Linked DNA regions of Drosophila melanogaster. The protein of the gene in region 2 interacts with the protein of the main gene of each other region in a biochemical or structural test. Each region holds a gene or a part of one and is shown on either strand. Other genes may lie near its edges.

What was found.
Region 1: of the proteins of Dad (region 2) and Art1, one has a biochemical effect on the other in vitro, tested with the Drosophila melanogaster proteins (one study listed by BioGRID).

The regions. Positions count from the first base shown.
Region 1 is NT_033777.3:10,784,256-10,790,664, forward strand, and holds Art1 (arginine methyltransferase 1), read right to left. Parts: upstream 3,972-6,409; 5' UTR 3,860-3,971; coding exon 3,857-3,859; intron 3,794-3,856; coding exon 3,518-3,793; intron 3,450-3,517; coding exon 3,220-3,449; intron 3,133-3,219; coding exon 2,511-3,132; 3' UTR 2,226-2,510; downstream 1-2,225. Other genes in the region: Rbp1 (RNA-binding protein 1), read left to right, coding at 352-668, 1,148-1,265; Mcm5 (minichromosome maintenance 5), read left to right, coding at 4,410-4,561, 4,616-5,726, 5,785-6,409.
Region 2 is NT_033777.3:17,050,631-17,057,873, reverse strand, and holds the start of Dad (daughters against dpp), read right to left. Parts: upstream 3,868-7,243; 5' UTR 3,512-3,867; intron 2,978-3,511; exon of another isoform or gene 2,839-2,977; 5' UTR 2,700-2,838; intron 456-2,699; 5' UTR 164-455; coding exon 1-163.

The DNA.
Region 1 (6,409 bases), 6.3 Mb from region 2:
CTTATAATTGTTGTTTTTTTGGCACTTGTAATGGTTAGAGAAATATTATAAAAATATTTAATAACAAGAAAATGTAACATATCAGAAACTGGCGATAGCGATGTATCGGTTTTCGATGCCACCACTATTTCCGCGTCTGGTCACACTTTTCGGTAATTGTAATAAATAAAGGAAAGGCGGAGATTTTTGTTAAAATTTTAACAAAATTGGATGACATTTTAGAAGGTAAGTGTGGAAATTAGTGTTTATACAACAGCTCATTGCACGGATAATATAAGTAACCCGTATACTCGTGTTTTAGCCGCTTGCTCACCTCCCGCAATACTCACGATACCGCACCGCCCGACAAAAATGCCGCGATATAGGGAGTGGGACTTGGCCTGCAAGGTGTACGTGGGAAACCTGGGCTCCTCGGCGTCCAAGCACGAGATAGAAGGCGCATTTGCCAAATATGGACCCCTGCGAAACGTGTGGGTGGCCCGCAATCCACCAGGTTTCGCCTTTGTCGAATTTGAGGATCGCCGTGACGCGGAAGACGCAACGCGTGCCCTGGACGGAACACGCTGCTGCGGCACTAGGATTCGCGTAGAGATGTCTTCGGGTCGCTCGCGCGATCGCCGGCGCGGAGAAGGCGGCAGTAGTGGTCGCTCTGGTTCCGGACGCTACAGGTAATTCCACGACAAAAAAACTGTACTTCTCATGTTACTTGGCTCAATGTGTCTCCCAAATGGAACAATGGATCACTTGACTCCAAAAATTGGGTACTTTCTTCAGGTTTCTAAGCATATGATGGCGGTCTTGCCTGTAACCGTCAAAATTAATCAATCCTTATCAAAACGTATAAAATTTGTTATCGAAATTTCATTGGAATCGTCGCAAAAAACATTAATTGCGAATAGCAAACATGTACATTTTCCCGCCTTTTTCTGCACGTGATAGAACAGCCTTCGAAATGTCAGTTTTATGAGTACTTCTTCGCAGGCTGTTTTATTCATGTCCAACTGACATCACATCGCTATTCATAACATTTCTAATTAAAAATTGACTTGGTACTTTATTTAGACCAAACTTACAAACTGTATACATATATTATCTACGATCCAATCATTTAGTGGTTGTTAAATTCGAGTTATCGACACTTTTTCAGGATAACTCCTTCGGCTAGAACTACTTCCACTGCTACTTCTTCCTTCTACAACATCAACAATCTACAACAGCAACCATCTTCACAGCCACAGCCAGCAACCTTCAACTTGCAACTCTAAATTAACCATGTTCAGCGTCACAGCCTCACAGAAGTTTTGATTAGCAACCCAAATGATTTCATCCTAGAAGAAGCAATGCAGTCGCCCAAAGAGTTCTTTTTTAAAGTTATCCTGCGTATCCTTCAAATAATTGCTTACAATTATTTCTTTAATTTAGTTGCCTATGATATGAGGGTTCGTCCGCTTTCTCAAGTACTTGACTCTGATGTCGAGAAAACTGGCCTTGAACGCGTTTAACGCTGATGATCACAGCTACTATAGATTTGTTCGACCATTTTCTTATTGCATATGTATCCGACAAAGTAGAAAGCTTTAAACTCTAATTATAGGATATCAGTTGGTAATAGATAGTAAATGTAATTGCAGCAGCTAAATGTAATAGCAGCATTAGCAATAATACTCTTATCTTAATTGGTTCACAGCTTAATTCATAGAAACAAAACAGTTTGCACAGCTTTCATTTTTGTTCCCCCTGGTAATTAGTTTAAGTAACTATTTAGCAGTATTTAACACTCCTATTTTGCAGCTCTTTGTAAGGCGCGTATGTACATACACTTCTTACCATTCTAAGCTGATTTAAATAATTTTATTAAGCTTTTAAGTAATCATTTCTTCTTTACCAATGCGTTTATTTCAGGTCACGTTCGCCACGTCGCTCCCGATCGCCCCGCAGCCGCAGCTTCTCGCGCGATCGTCGAAGTCGCTCGGATTCTCGGGATCGTCATTAATGTTTCCAAAAGGATATCGTTTAAGCAGTGTCGCATCAAAGAACAAGCCGGCCAAGGCCGTATTTTCTGTAGGAATTCCTATGTCGATTGCGATCCAAGTAAATTTACTTCAGATGACAATATAAATCTTTCGATGCATTCTTGAAATTCCTTTTTTTTTTTTACTAAAAAATAAAGACGCACAATCAGCGAGTTTTGATTGGTTTCATATATCATCAAAAACAGTTTGTTTCCAGCAAAAGGGGACGTGCTTAGTGCACTGTTTATTATGTGAGAATTGACGTGCTGCTGTACAACTTGCTTAGAAGTATGTTCGAATAATAATTTAAACAGGCGCACGAGTGTAAAATATTATGTATACTAACAAAGGTACACTTTAAACTTAGGAGAAGACGCAACACGAATTCGTTGCACATTTCGCACTGGAATAAACCTTACGTCTAGTCATTGTATGTATCCTCGCTGCAGGGCTCTGAGCCCCATCCCAAATGGCAGATCGGATTGGTTATGGCTGCCCCTAGCGCATGCGGTATGTGTTCGACTCCTGAATTTGAGACAATTCGCCCTTGAAATTAATGTCGATGACGAAGTCCAGGTCACGGTTGTTCCGCTCGTTGGGCTTCATCTGGAACGTGCCAGTGATCTCCTCGTTCTTCTTTGCCGTCATGTGGTCATCGAGGTAGAACACGGTTTGCTTCCAATGCGTGTATGTGGAGTCTGGTGACGTACTGAACCCAAGACGCTTGTGGCACTTGGTGAACTCTATATTAAAGTAGGTGACTAATGCCTGCACGAAGTCGTTGCGCTTGATGCATAGGCTGAACTTGGACGAGAAGTTAAGATCGGCCTTTTGCACGGTATACAGATCCACCTCCTTGACCATGCAAGATGTGGATACCACTTGCTTGGGATCGACCACGTCGACCAGTGGCTCGGTCACGGCCACCTTACGAATGCAGCTCATGTCGAAGCCGTAGACATCGTCCCACCAGTTGATCTTCTCGTCCTTGTACTGTCTGTCCTCGATGGCCGTGATATACAGCGTGCCCCTATCTGGGAACATCATGCCGTCCTTCTTCAGCCACTTGTCCCGAGCGTACAACACTGTATCCAGCATGGATTCGTAGAACAGGCAGTAACTAAATTAAGGAAAGAAATTAAAATGGTTAATATGCTAAATCAAATATGACCACTTTTTAAAAGCTTAACTACAAATGAAAACCTACCCCATCCACTCGGAAATAATAATGTCCACTCCCTCAATACCATTTGGAAGCTCAATCTCCTCAATCTTGCCCTTGACAACCGTGATTACATCCTGCAGATTGTTGTCAATGACCACTTGGCGGGCAAACTCAATGATGTTGGAGCAGTCGACGGCAATCACCTGAGCAGCACCGGCTTTGGCAGCGAACATGGAGAGAATGCCGGTACCGCAACCCACGTCCAGTACGGTCTGCAAAGAGGAGATACCCCGGTGAGAAGGGCTACGAAAAATGGGGAAACCCCGGAAGTTAACCCTACCTTGCCCTGAAACAGATGCTTGTTGTGGTACATGGCGTTGCGGTATGTGACGGTGCGCACTTCGTCCTTGAGCATCTCCTCGTGGATCCCGAAATGGGCATAGGAGTCAAAGTAATAGTCGCGGGACGTCATCTCGTCGGCGTTGGCATTGGGATTATCACCGGTGGAGCCCTCCGCGGGCAGCTTCTTCGCCACATTGTTTGAGTTCGCATTTGAATTGGGCGTGATGCCGGTCGCCGATTCCACAGCTGCCTCCATGGGAATGTCTGTGCTGGCCTGCGAATCGGGTTCGTCAGCTACTGGCCTGTCGATTGCCGTCACATTTTGACCAAAACTTACCATTTTCTAATTTCTTCGGCGTCTCTTTGGTTTTTCACGTCGAAAAATTGGCGACTAAATGATGGGACTGTTTCTACAGCACGCTAGTTTAAAAGGTCGCTTATCAACACTGCCCCCGCACAAAAGCTGGAAACAAATATCGCCAGCTCGATATTATTGGATTTTTCTGAAATTTTAGTATTTTTGAGCTGGGAAGAATTGGAGTCAGTTGTCTAAGGCATGTTCCATATAATCGAGTAAAATAATCTTTGTCATAACATCAATAAGATATAATAAATACGTTCATGGTTTATTAACTGCTGCAATGCTTGTTGTATTGGTCCTATTTCACTGCTAACAAAAATACATAAACTGGGAAACACGTTTCATCGATAGTTGTAAATAAGATCCGATAGTTTTACTGGTAAGTGCTCATCTCTAGCTACCGCTTGCCCGGTAATTTTGGCGGCAAAATATTCGCACATCGCATTTACTAAAAAACGAAATATAAAGCGAAGCAGAAGTAGCGTCTATTACCTCAGTTCTTCTTTTTAACTTTGTTTACCCTATCAAAATGGAAGGCTTCGACGATGCGGGTGTGTTCTTTTCGGACAATTTCGGCGGAGATAACCAGCAGGATGCGCAAATCAACTTGCAGGCGGTAAAGAAGAAGTACAAGGAGTTCATCCGGACATTTAACGAGGAGAACTTTTTCTACAAATACCGGTAAGTGAACTGCATCTCCTCATCTGAACCCCATTTAAGGTAATCCCCCTGCAGTGACACCCTGAAGAGGAACTATCTTAATGGTCGCTACTTCTTGGAGATTGAGATGGAGGATTTGGTGGGCTTCGATGAGACCTTGGCTGACAAGCTGAACAAGCAGCCGACGGAGCATTTGGAAATCTTCGAGGAGGCTGCCCGGGAGGTAGCCGACGAGATCACAGCTCCCCGGCCGGAGCACGAGGAACATATGCACGACATCCAGATTCTTCTGAGCTCCAATGCGAATCCCACCAACATACGACAGTTGAAGTCGGACTGCGTATCCAAGCTGGTTAAGATCGCCGGAATCATTGTCGCAGCCTCAGGAATAAGTGCCAAGGCTACGCGGATGTCTATCCAATGCCTGTCCTGCAGCACGGTCATACCGAATCTCAAAGTGAATCCAGGTTTGGAGGGCTACGCCCTACCCAGGAAGTGCAACACGGAGCAGGCGGGCAGACCCAAGTGCCCGCTGGACCCCTTCTTCATCATGCCGGACAAGTGCAAGTGCGTCGATTTCCAGACCCTTAAGTTGCAAGAGCTCCCCGACTTTGTGCCACAGGGTGAGATTCCCCGCCACTTGCAGCTCTTCTGCGATCGCTCGCTCTGTGAACGCGTGGTGCCCGGCAATCGCGTGCTTATCCAGGGCATATACTCCATTCGCAAGGTGGGCAAACCCTCGCGTCGGGATGGTCGCGAGAAAGCCGTCGTTGGAGTCCGTGCTCCTTACATGAGGGTGGTGGGCATCACCGTCGACTCAGAGGGTGCGGGTGCCATCTCCCGATACAGCAACATCACATCCGATGAGGAGGAGCACTTCCGGCGAATGGCCGCCTCTGGGGACATCTACGAACGTCTCTCACAGTCACTGGCGCCCAGCATCTTCGGCTCTCGGGATATCAAGAAAGCTATAACTTGTATGCTTTTTGGCGGGTCTCGTAAGCGTTTACCGGATGGTCTGTGCCGTCGAGGCGACATTAACGTCTTACTGCTGGGAGATCCTGGTACTGCCAAGTCACAGTTGTTAAAGTTTGTGGAGAAGGTGGCACCCATAGCAGTCTACACTTCGGGCAAAGGCTCCAGTGCGGCTGGTCTCACGGCTTCGGTTATGAAGGATCCTCAAACGGTGAGAAAAAACATTGCACACCTAATCCTTACAAATTAAATGATACATTAATCTTTAGCGTAACTTTGTCATGGAGGGTGGAGCCATGGTGCTGGCCGATGGAGGCGTGGTTTGTATTGATGAGTTCGACAAAATGCGAGAGGATGATCGTGTGGCCATTCACGAGGCCATGGAACAGCAGACAATATCCATTGCCAAAGCCGGCATCACGACCACCTTGAACTCACGCTGTTCGGTCTTGGCAGCTGCCAACTCCATTTTCGGTCGATGGGACGACACCAAGGGCGAGGAGAACATTGACTTTATGCCCACAATTCTCTCCCGTTTCGACATGATTTTCATTGTAAAGGATATTCACGATGAGTCGCGGGACATTACGCTGGCCAAGCACATCATCAACGTGCATCTGAGCTCTAACAAGTCAGCGCCTTCAGAGCCGGCTGAGGGTGAGATATCGCTGTCGACGTTCAAGAAGTATATTCACTACTGCCGAACTCATTGCGGTCCGCGCCTGAGCGAAGCTGCCGGCGAGAAGCTAAAGAGCCGCTACGTGCTTATGCGCAGTGGAGCCGGCCAGCAGGAGAAGGCATCTGACAAGCGGCTAAGCATTCCCATCACTGTGCGTCAGTTGGAGGCTGTCATCCGCATTTCGGAGTCGCTGGCAAAGATTCGTTTGCAACCGT
Region 2 (7,243 bases):
TGCAGGAATAACCAAAGCTTGGAGTACACTGATGAGGGCGGGGTCGATGTGGAGGGGGAGGCGGCCGTGGTGGCTGAGCGGGCGGTGCTGCTGACACCCCATTGCTCGGATTGTTGCTGGACGCATAACGCCATAACACCTTCTTTTCTCTTGGGAATATCATGGAGGGACATACAGTTTTGCGGTAACATCGATCCTATTGTATGCGCATTATTTGTAGTTGACTAACTTGGTTCGCGGACTCGACGGGGCCGGCTAGTCACGGTAGTTCACTTTGTGTTCTTCTTAGCTACTCCGATTGCACGGGTGGGTGTCTGGGAACTTGAACTTATTTCGGGGCGGGCGAGGGATTCAGGGGACTTGGGAACTTGTCAAACTGTTTTATACTTCTCGTATCACTCGTTGATATGTATACTTTCGACGGGCTTGATATGTACTGTCCAGTGGTGTGCACTCTGCAATGAAAGAGGAGTACGATGATTAGTCACTGGCCTAATTGGTCTTCCGAGCATCGTTAAATGCACTCGTGGTTAAGTAAAGCGGGGGCGGAGTCTAGAGAGGGGTTTGCCTGCACCTAATCTTCAAAACATAATTAAACTGGTCCCTAAATCTGTATTATTTAGATGTAACCAAAACATACATAGCTAAACCGATCGGCTTGTTAATTCAATGTTTATATTGCTACTTTTTGTTTTCTTTGAATAGAATAATATATGTATGTAGATGAATCTGATTTGAAAGATACCAAAATCATAATGCTTTATTTTTTATTAAACCCTCTGAGCACATATGCAGGTGCATACTTACATACATATGTATGTATCAAATCAATAATGAGCGTAGTGTTGTTTGAATGTGCCACATTTCCTATAAAAAGGCTACATTCCCCGTTTTCGATTTCCAGACTACGCCCCTGGTGGCAGGCAAGGAATCTAGTGGTGGATCGCTTGAGTGAGTAATACCCCCTCCCCGCCCTCTTTCACCAACGGACAGCCGACGCCAGTGCATATGCAAAGATCTGTGCGGCAGCATCAGCTGTCAGCGAGAAAGAGACGGACGATGGTGGGGGGGAACGATTGGTAAGGGGGAACGATTGGTAAGGGGGAACGAACGGGAGAGCGCCGCAAATTAACAGCCCAAATACGCTTGTGTTTGTGTATGTGTGTGGCCCATGCGACTATTTCCATTTTGTTGCTGGCATTTCTTGCGCTCCTTATCGACGACAAAAGTGGCGCCGCCGGCATGACGGCAACAACATAAAAAACAGCACAGCAGCGACGAACAGCAACAAAATTACGAGTCAGCCCCACAAGCACGCTCACCAACACCAACACACCGCATCAAACACACTCGCGCTCTCTCGCTCACTCATACATACAGAATGCTTGCGTGCAGAGTAAAAAAAAGGCAGGGCGGCGGGCGTGCGAGCGAGAGGGAAATGCCTGGCGCCACTGACGTAATAAAAGAAATAATAGTAACGATGTCGGCGGCAGAGGCGTCGTCGGAATGGCGCCACACCAACACACGCTCACCTTAGACAGACACACGGACAGGGACGAGCGACGCGACGGTCGGTTTGTCAGCCGGTTTGACAAGTTGAAGAATCAACAATTTAAGGTTGAGGTGAGTATGAAATAATCTACCGCAGCCGTGGTTCAAAAGAGTACGTACCACCAGAGAGTGCGAGTGTGGTGGGAATTAGAATTGAAGGCGCTCTCGAAACTCTTCTGAAAAGTCATCAAGTCGAGAACTTAGCGTTCTTAAAGTCTAGCTTTGAATTAGAACTTATCAGAATGCATCTGAGTTTTTCAATCGGAAACAAAAAAAGGTATGTTTTAAACAGTAGCATTATCTTATGAGACCAATCTTAGGACTTTACTTATTTTGTCAAGAACAGAAACATAATTAATAATAGGAATCAATTTATAAGATCCTTCATTCCCTCCACATAAACCGTATAACTGCACGATTAATATTTGTCAATAATAAAAAATGCAATGCGAAAGCGACAGAAATAAATTATTTACATATGGACATACATCTAAAATTATTTATGATGTGCGATGTATGCACCACAGTTTTTAGCTTCAAAATTGCAAAGTAATTGATACCACCGTACTTTTGCTTTCAAATATTTACCAATCTTGAGTCAGCCGGAACAAAAACCCTTCCACATTTAAAACTATGAAAGATGTGTAATCCAGTGAACAATAGAGAGAGCTGTTTACGTTCATAAAATTCAGTATTTAGAGCAAGTCCAATACAAAAAAAAAAAATTGCACATCAACACTTCAAAAGCCATATATCGCACATTTAACAATCAATTGAAAACAGTCTATACTCAAGAATTTTTATTCAAACCCGCTGAGTGATTATTTTTTCCAAATTCACGTTTACAAATTTATATGTATATTTATATATACATACGTAGTTATGGACTTTCTGATAATGAAAGCATGAGTAATTGTAAGTCCAATTGGAAACTATAGCGATTTGGTAACAGATATTCGCGACTCGGTATTATATAAAATATAAAATTATCTTCGAAACCGCATCAGAAAATATTGAATATGAAAACTTAAATAACGCTAATGAGTGATAAGCATTTGTTTGTTGACTTAGCTATTTTGCATAATCACGAGTGCACCTCTTCAAATCGGCTTGATTTTGAGTTCTAAGGAGTGGAAATAGGTACTTACTGTTTAAAATTTTTTGTTAGGTGGTTTCCGTTTAATCCTTTCCTTATGTAGTATTACTTTTTGATATGTGTAGGTGTATTTGATATGTTTAGAGGTTCACTTGATAATTTGTATTTACATTTACTGCAGAAGAAACAAACTATTAGCAACGAATTTGAATTTGTTTAACACGTGCCGACGGGTTTTTGTTATTGGATTGGTAACCGCAGTCGATTTTTTCTTTTTTTGCTGCTGGTCAGTCACTTTTTCCTATGCATGTGTACGTTTGTGTGGATTTAATAAGGTGCGAGTAATGTGTTGATTTCGGTTGAATATTATGTTGAAGTAGCCGAATGCCGGAAAACAATAACAATTTTTAACGTGGTGGAAAAGGTGTTTTTTGTTGGCTTGCGATTTGCGCTCTGCTTTGATTCTGCCGGCGTCGCTACCACCGCTATATACGTATACGTTTGTTTGTTTGTATGGGCCAGTGCAGGTACAATGTGTGTACGTGGCTGGCGAACAATTGCATTTCTTTTCTTGCTGTTATTTGCTCAGTTAAAGCTTGAACACACTTATTATTTGGCCCGCATTTTCCCCCCGATGCTCATTGATTTTTAATTCGCACACGAACACAACCACAAAACACACGCACGCAAACGAGATCGAAGATCCGTTATCCGGGCGGAGAATTCTCGCTCTTTCTTTGCACACACAAACACAAACAAATGCATAGAATTCATAACAGCAAGCAGCAAAAATAAAAGATTTTCGCCTGACGATTTCCAATCCCCTTCGATTCTCACTTCAATTGATTTGCCTGCTGCACTCACACTTTTTCTATGTATTTCCTCCTTCACATTTCAGTTCTAGAGCGCACAACAACTTCACTGCACTTGTTTGTTGTTTACGACGCCCGCGTTTACAACAACAAAAACAAAACCCGTAAATGTTGCGAAAAAAGAGTCGGGGAAAGGCGAAAAAGTCCGATATTTAGGAACTGCGTTTTTTTGTCATTTAATTAACCCAAAAATCATTTAGCAGTCTCGAACACAAATAACGTTATTTCGGAAAATTTCTCGTGGCAATACGTCAAGTATCCATCTTTTCGTTGATATCTTTCGGATTTGGATTTCTCGAACGGCAAAAGAACACACAAGCGACGCGGTTGAAAATTGTTGGGGCAATGAGCGAAGCGCTAACTGTGCGGATTGATAGTCTTTGGAGCTGTGGGGAATAAACGTGGGAGAAACGCCTGAGAGAGCGCCTGGGAGAGGGAGGTTTAGAGAGAGAGAGAAAAATTAAGAGACCAAGAAATTGTAAAATTAGAATCATACATAAAGTTCCCGTTCTAACAATGTATAAGAACTTCAGTTTTATTATTAATTAGAAAAGACTTGTTAAAATATCTTCATATTTTTCACATTCCCATTCCTACTACAAGTGCTAAACCAAAGAATCCAAGACATCTGAGAGTGGAGAGCATCCGTTGGATGGCTACTATGGCGTGGTGAGTTTCGTTTCGCTTCCGCGGACAGATACAACCTGCGCACGCACACCCACACTCGCTTCATGCTGGCAGTGCCGTTGGAAATAGTGTTGGCTAACGCGGTAATTTCAAAAATTGATAAGTTTTCCTAGACAAATTATGTGGGAAATACTAAGCTGTCCTATAATATAGGAGAAATCTATAACTATATGTTTATAATTGAAAAGCCGTGTTCAGTATGAGCATTTTATAATTTAAGTTAAAAAAAGATTAATGTACCTTAAAATTTTATTTAAGATGTCTTAAAAGGTAAATGCTTAAAAGGCATACAAGGTTTAATTAATTCGAATCAAATTAAAAACTCTCAGTACATATTAGCCCCTGTTAAATACGTCTGTTGAAGTTGCCAAAAAACTCAACTCCCTCGATGCTGTCGAGAGCGGAGAACCTGAGGAAGCAACATCGACATTTAGCGCGGTCTTGGTTGCCGCAAAATGTGATGAATGGTTGTGATCAAGGGCATATCAGTTGCATTGCCTTGCCCATGTCTGCCAAACACACGGACGCACACACGCCCATACAAAGTGGCGCCCCTGCAGCGGCCCTACACACACAGAAACACACTTAAAGCGCGCAGCGAGGATCGCATACCGCACTGCGAGAAAAGTCGATGGAATTATCTATGCTAAAATTTTTTACAGTCGTTATTACTATAACTAATTCTCTAAATAATAATAAATATAAGTTTACCTTTAGTTCATCTATGACATACAGTACAGTGCAATACAGTGGCAACGTCGAATTTAGTTATTGTAGTTTATTGTAATTTAAAACCGGTATTACTTAAACGTGTAAGGAACACAAGATCACGTCCAGATTTTTCACAGTGCCAAGCAGACGCTCCAACAGGAACCCTGGTTCGTCAGTTCCAGTAGAAATACATAATTGTCTCTCGTTTGGACGACTCGAAAACACAAAAGCAAATAGGCTCCCGTCATTACGATAATAATAGGTCGGGAACAGGGAACACAGGCCACTTGTGGAGTGAAACCGGCAACCGGCGATGTTGGCAGGAGGAATTTGATCGCGTCGTGAGCGTTAAATAAGCGAGAGTCGGGCCCCTGACTTGCCCCGTGGAGGGGCATGGGTATTAACTCCGGAAAGGACGGCGGCAGGAGTTTGAATACATTATTTTCTTATGAGGCCAGAGACATTCCGCAAATGCTAAACAAATAATACGACAGCGAGGAGTAGCGTCCCACAAAGCATCTTATTTAAAGGGCCTCAATTATTCAGCAGTGCCTTTGTTATGGTTAACCCTTTTCTTAGAATATAAAAATATTGCAACTCTACTAAGCCAATTGCTCTTAAGCATAATATTGGGAAAAAGGTATTTCGAATGTATATATTAAAACTAAATGCTTACTTTATATTTTCGCCATTTTAAAACTACATCGGAGATATTACATTGTGGTTAGTTTTACACGTGTCTATCGCAACAGTCAACCTTATTAAAAGTTACGTCATTTAACTATAAACAAATGCACAACGTGGATAAGCACAAATATGTGTATGGCTTTTGTGTGTGGGAAGAGGTATGGTATATGGTTTGGGTGATATAGTAGATGGTCACCTATGAAATCTTAGCTCGCTCGGCTGTTTACGAGTTTTGTTGTTTGGAAAGTATCGGGTTACCGATTCGACTCTTTTAAATGCCGACAGAACTTGTGGAATTTGGACCATTCAGAAAGGTTTTCTAATTTGCTATCTGAAGAATTCTCGGAAGTTTGTTGGCTACTGACCACCAAATTTTGAAAAACAACGCTTGATTCGTAAAAAGGTAAAAAAAAAATTCGCAACTTATTCTTGAAAAGTTCCCACATTCGTGTCAGAATAAGGTAATAAGTTGGTTAAGTACTTGATCTGCCGACTTGCTGCAATTTCTGAATGATTGTTCAGTTGACAGGGGTCCACTTGGGTGGCCACTCATCCTTGAAAACTCTTCACTCGCATTCTCTGCGAATCTGCTGCAATCCACTATCAGCAGCCGACTTCCTCTGTCTTCAGAAAACTCAAAGCTGAAGAAATTCTTGGCAGATCTGAAAACCAGTTTAGCATCGTTCATCATCGTCTTATCCTGTGCAATTCCTTGGCATTTGTTTGCCCCTTAACGAGTTCCAGCCTTTTTTATCCATTGATACACCCCATTGCTGTCCCTCTTGCCCTCGGTTTTGAGTTTCATAAGCTAATTTTCGAGAGTTCATTCAAAAGAGATAAATCTGAGTAGCGTGTGTGTCCCTTCAAGTCGGAAGAATTTGTCTGGCCTTTGAGCTCTTGAAAGCCATATCGACTTACCTGTTAATTCTGATCAGCGTTCTTTGTTTTAGCCAAAGAGATAACAAACTCACATATCTTTCGCATTTTGACTATCTTCACAACGAAACTACAGTCTTATATTTTTATAACACGCTAGTTTTTGTTAAGATCTACGTTTTAAATATGTTTTTAAAACACTGTTAAAAAAATGTTTAACTAAAATTAGAAAACATACACATAATGTTATCAAAATTTGATTGAGTGTGAAGTTTAAAATCAGTTTCACAACTCGTTGATGATTATCCAAGGCTTTAAACGCGTCTTACCTCCTGGATTTTGTGTCATTTCCAATTATTTGTAACTGCGTGTAAATGTTTCTTTTGAAATTTGGTTTTGTATAGCGCGCGTTTTTATTCGACTGTCACGATTTGGCGGACGCTTCCTTTGGCGCATTTCTAAGCCAACTAAGCGCCGGCCGTAGCAGGACTCGTCCTTTTATAGACGATGCTAGTGGGCTCCGCCGGTTTGGTGCGCACTGGGAATCCTGCGACTGCGACCACTGCGCAGTGATACGGATATGGATGCGGACACCACGGCGGCACGGAAGAATCATTGGACAAGGCGCCGTCGCCGCCGCCGTCTGAAACCGAATCGAGCTTGCGAGCCAGTCCATCTCCTTGGACGCCGACGCCACTCGTCCTTCATCCTTCTGACTCATTGCCAGTCCCCGCCAGCCATTCATGCACCAAACTGGCACTGG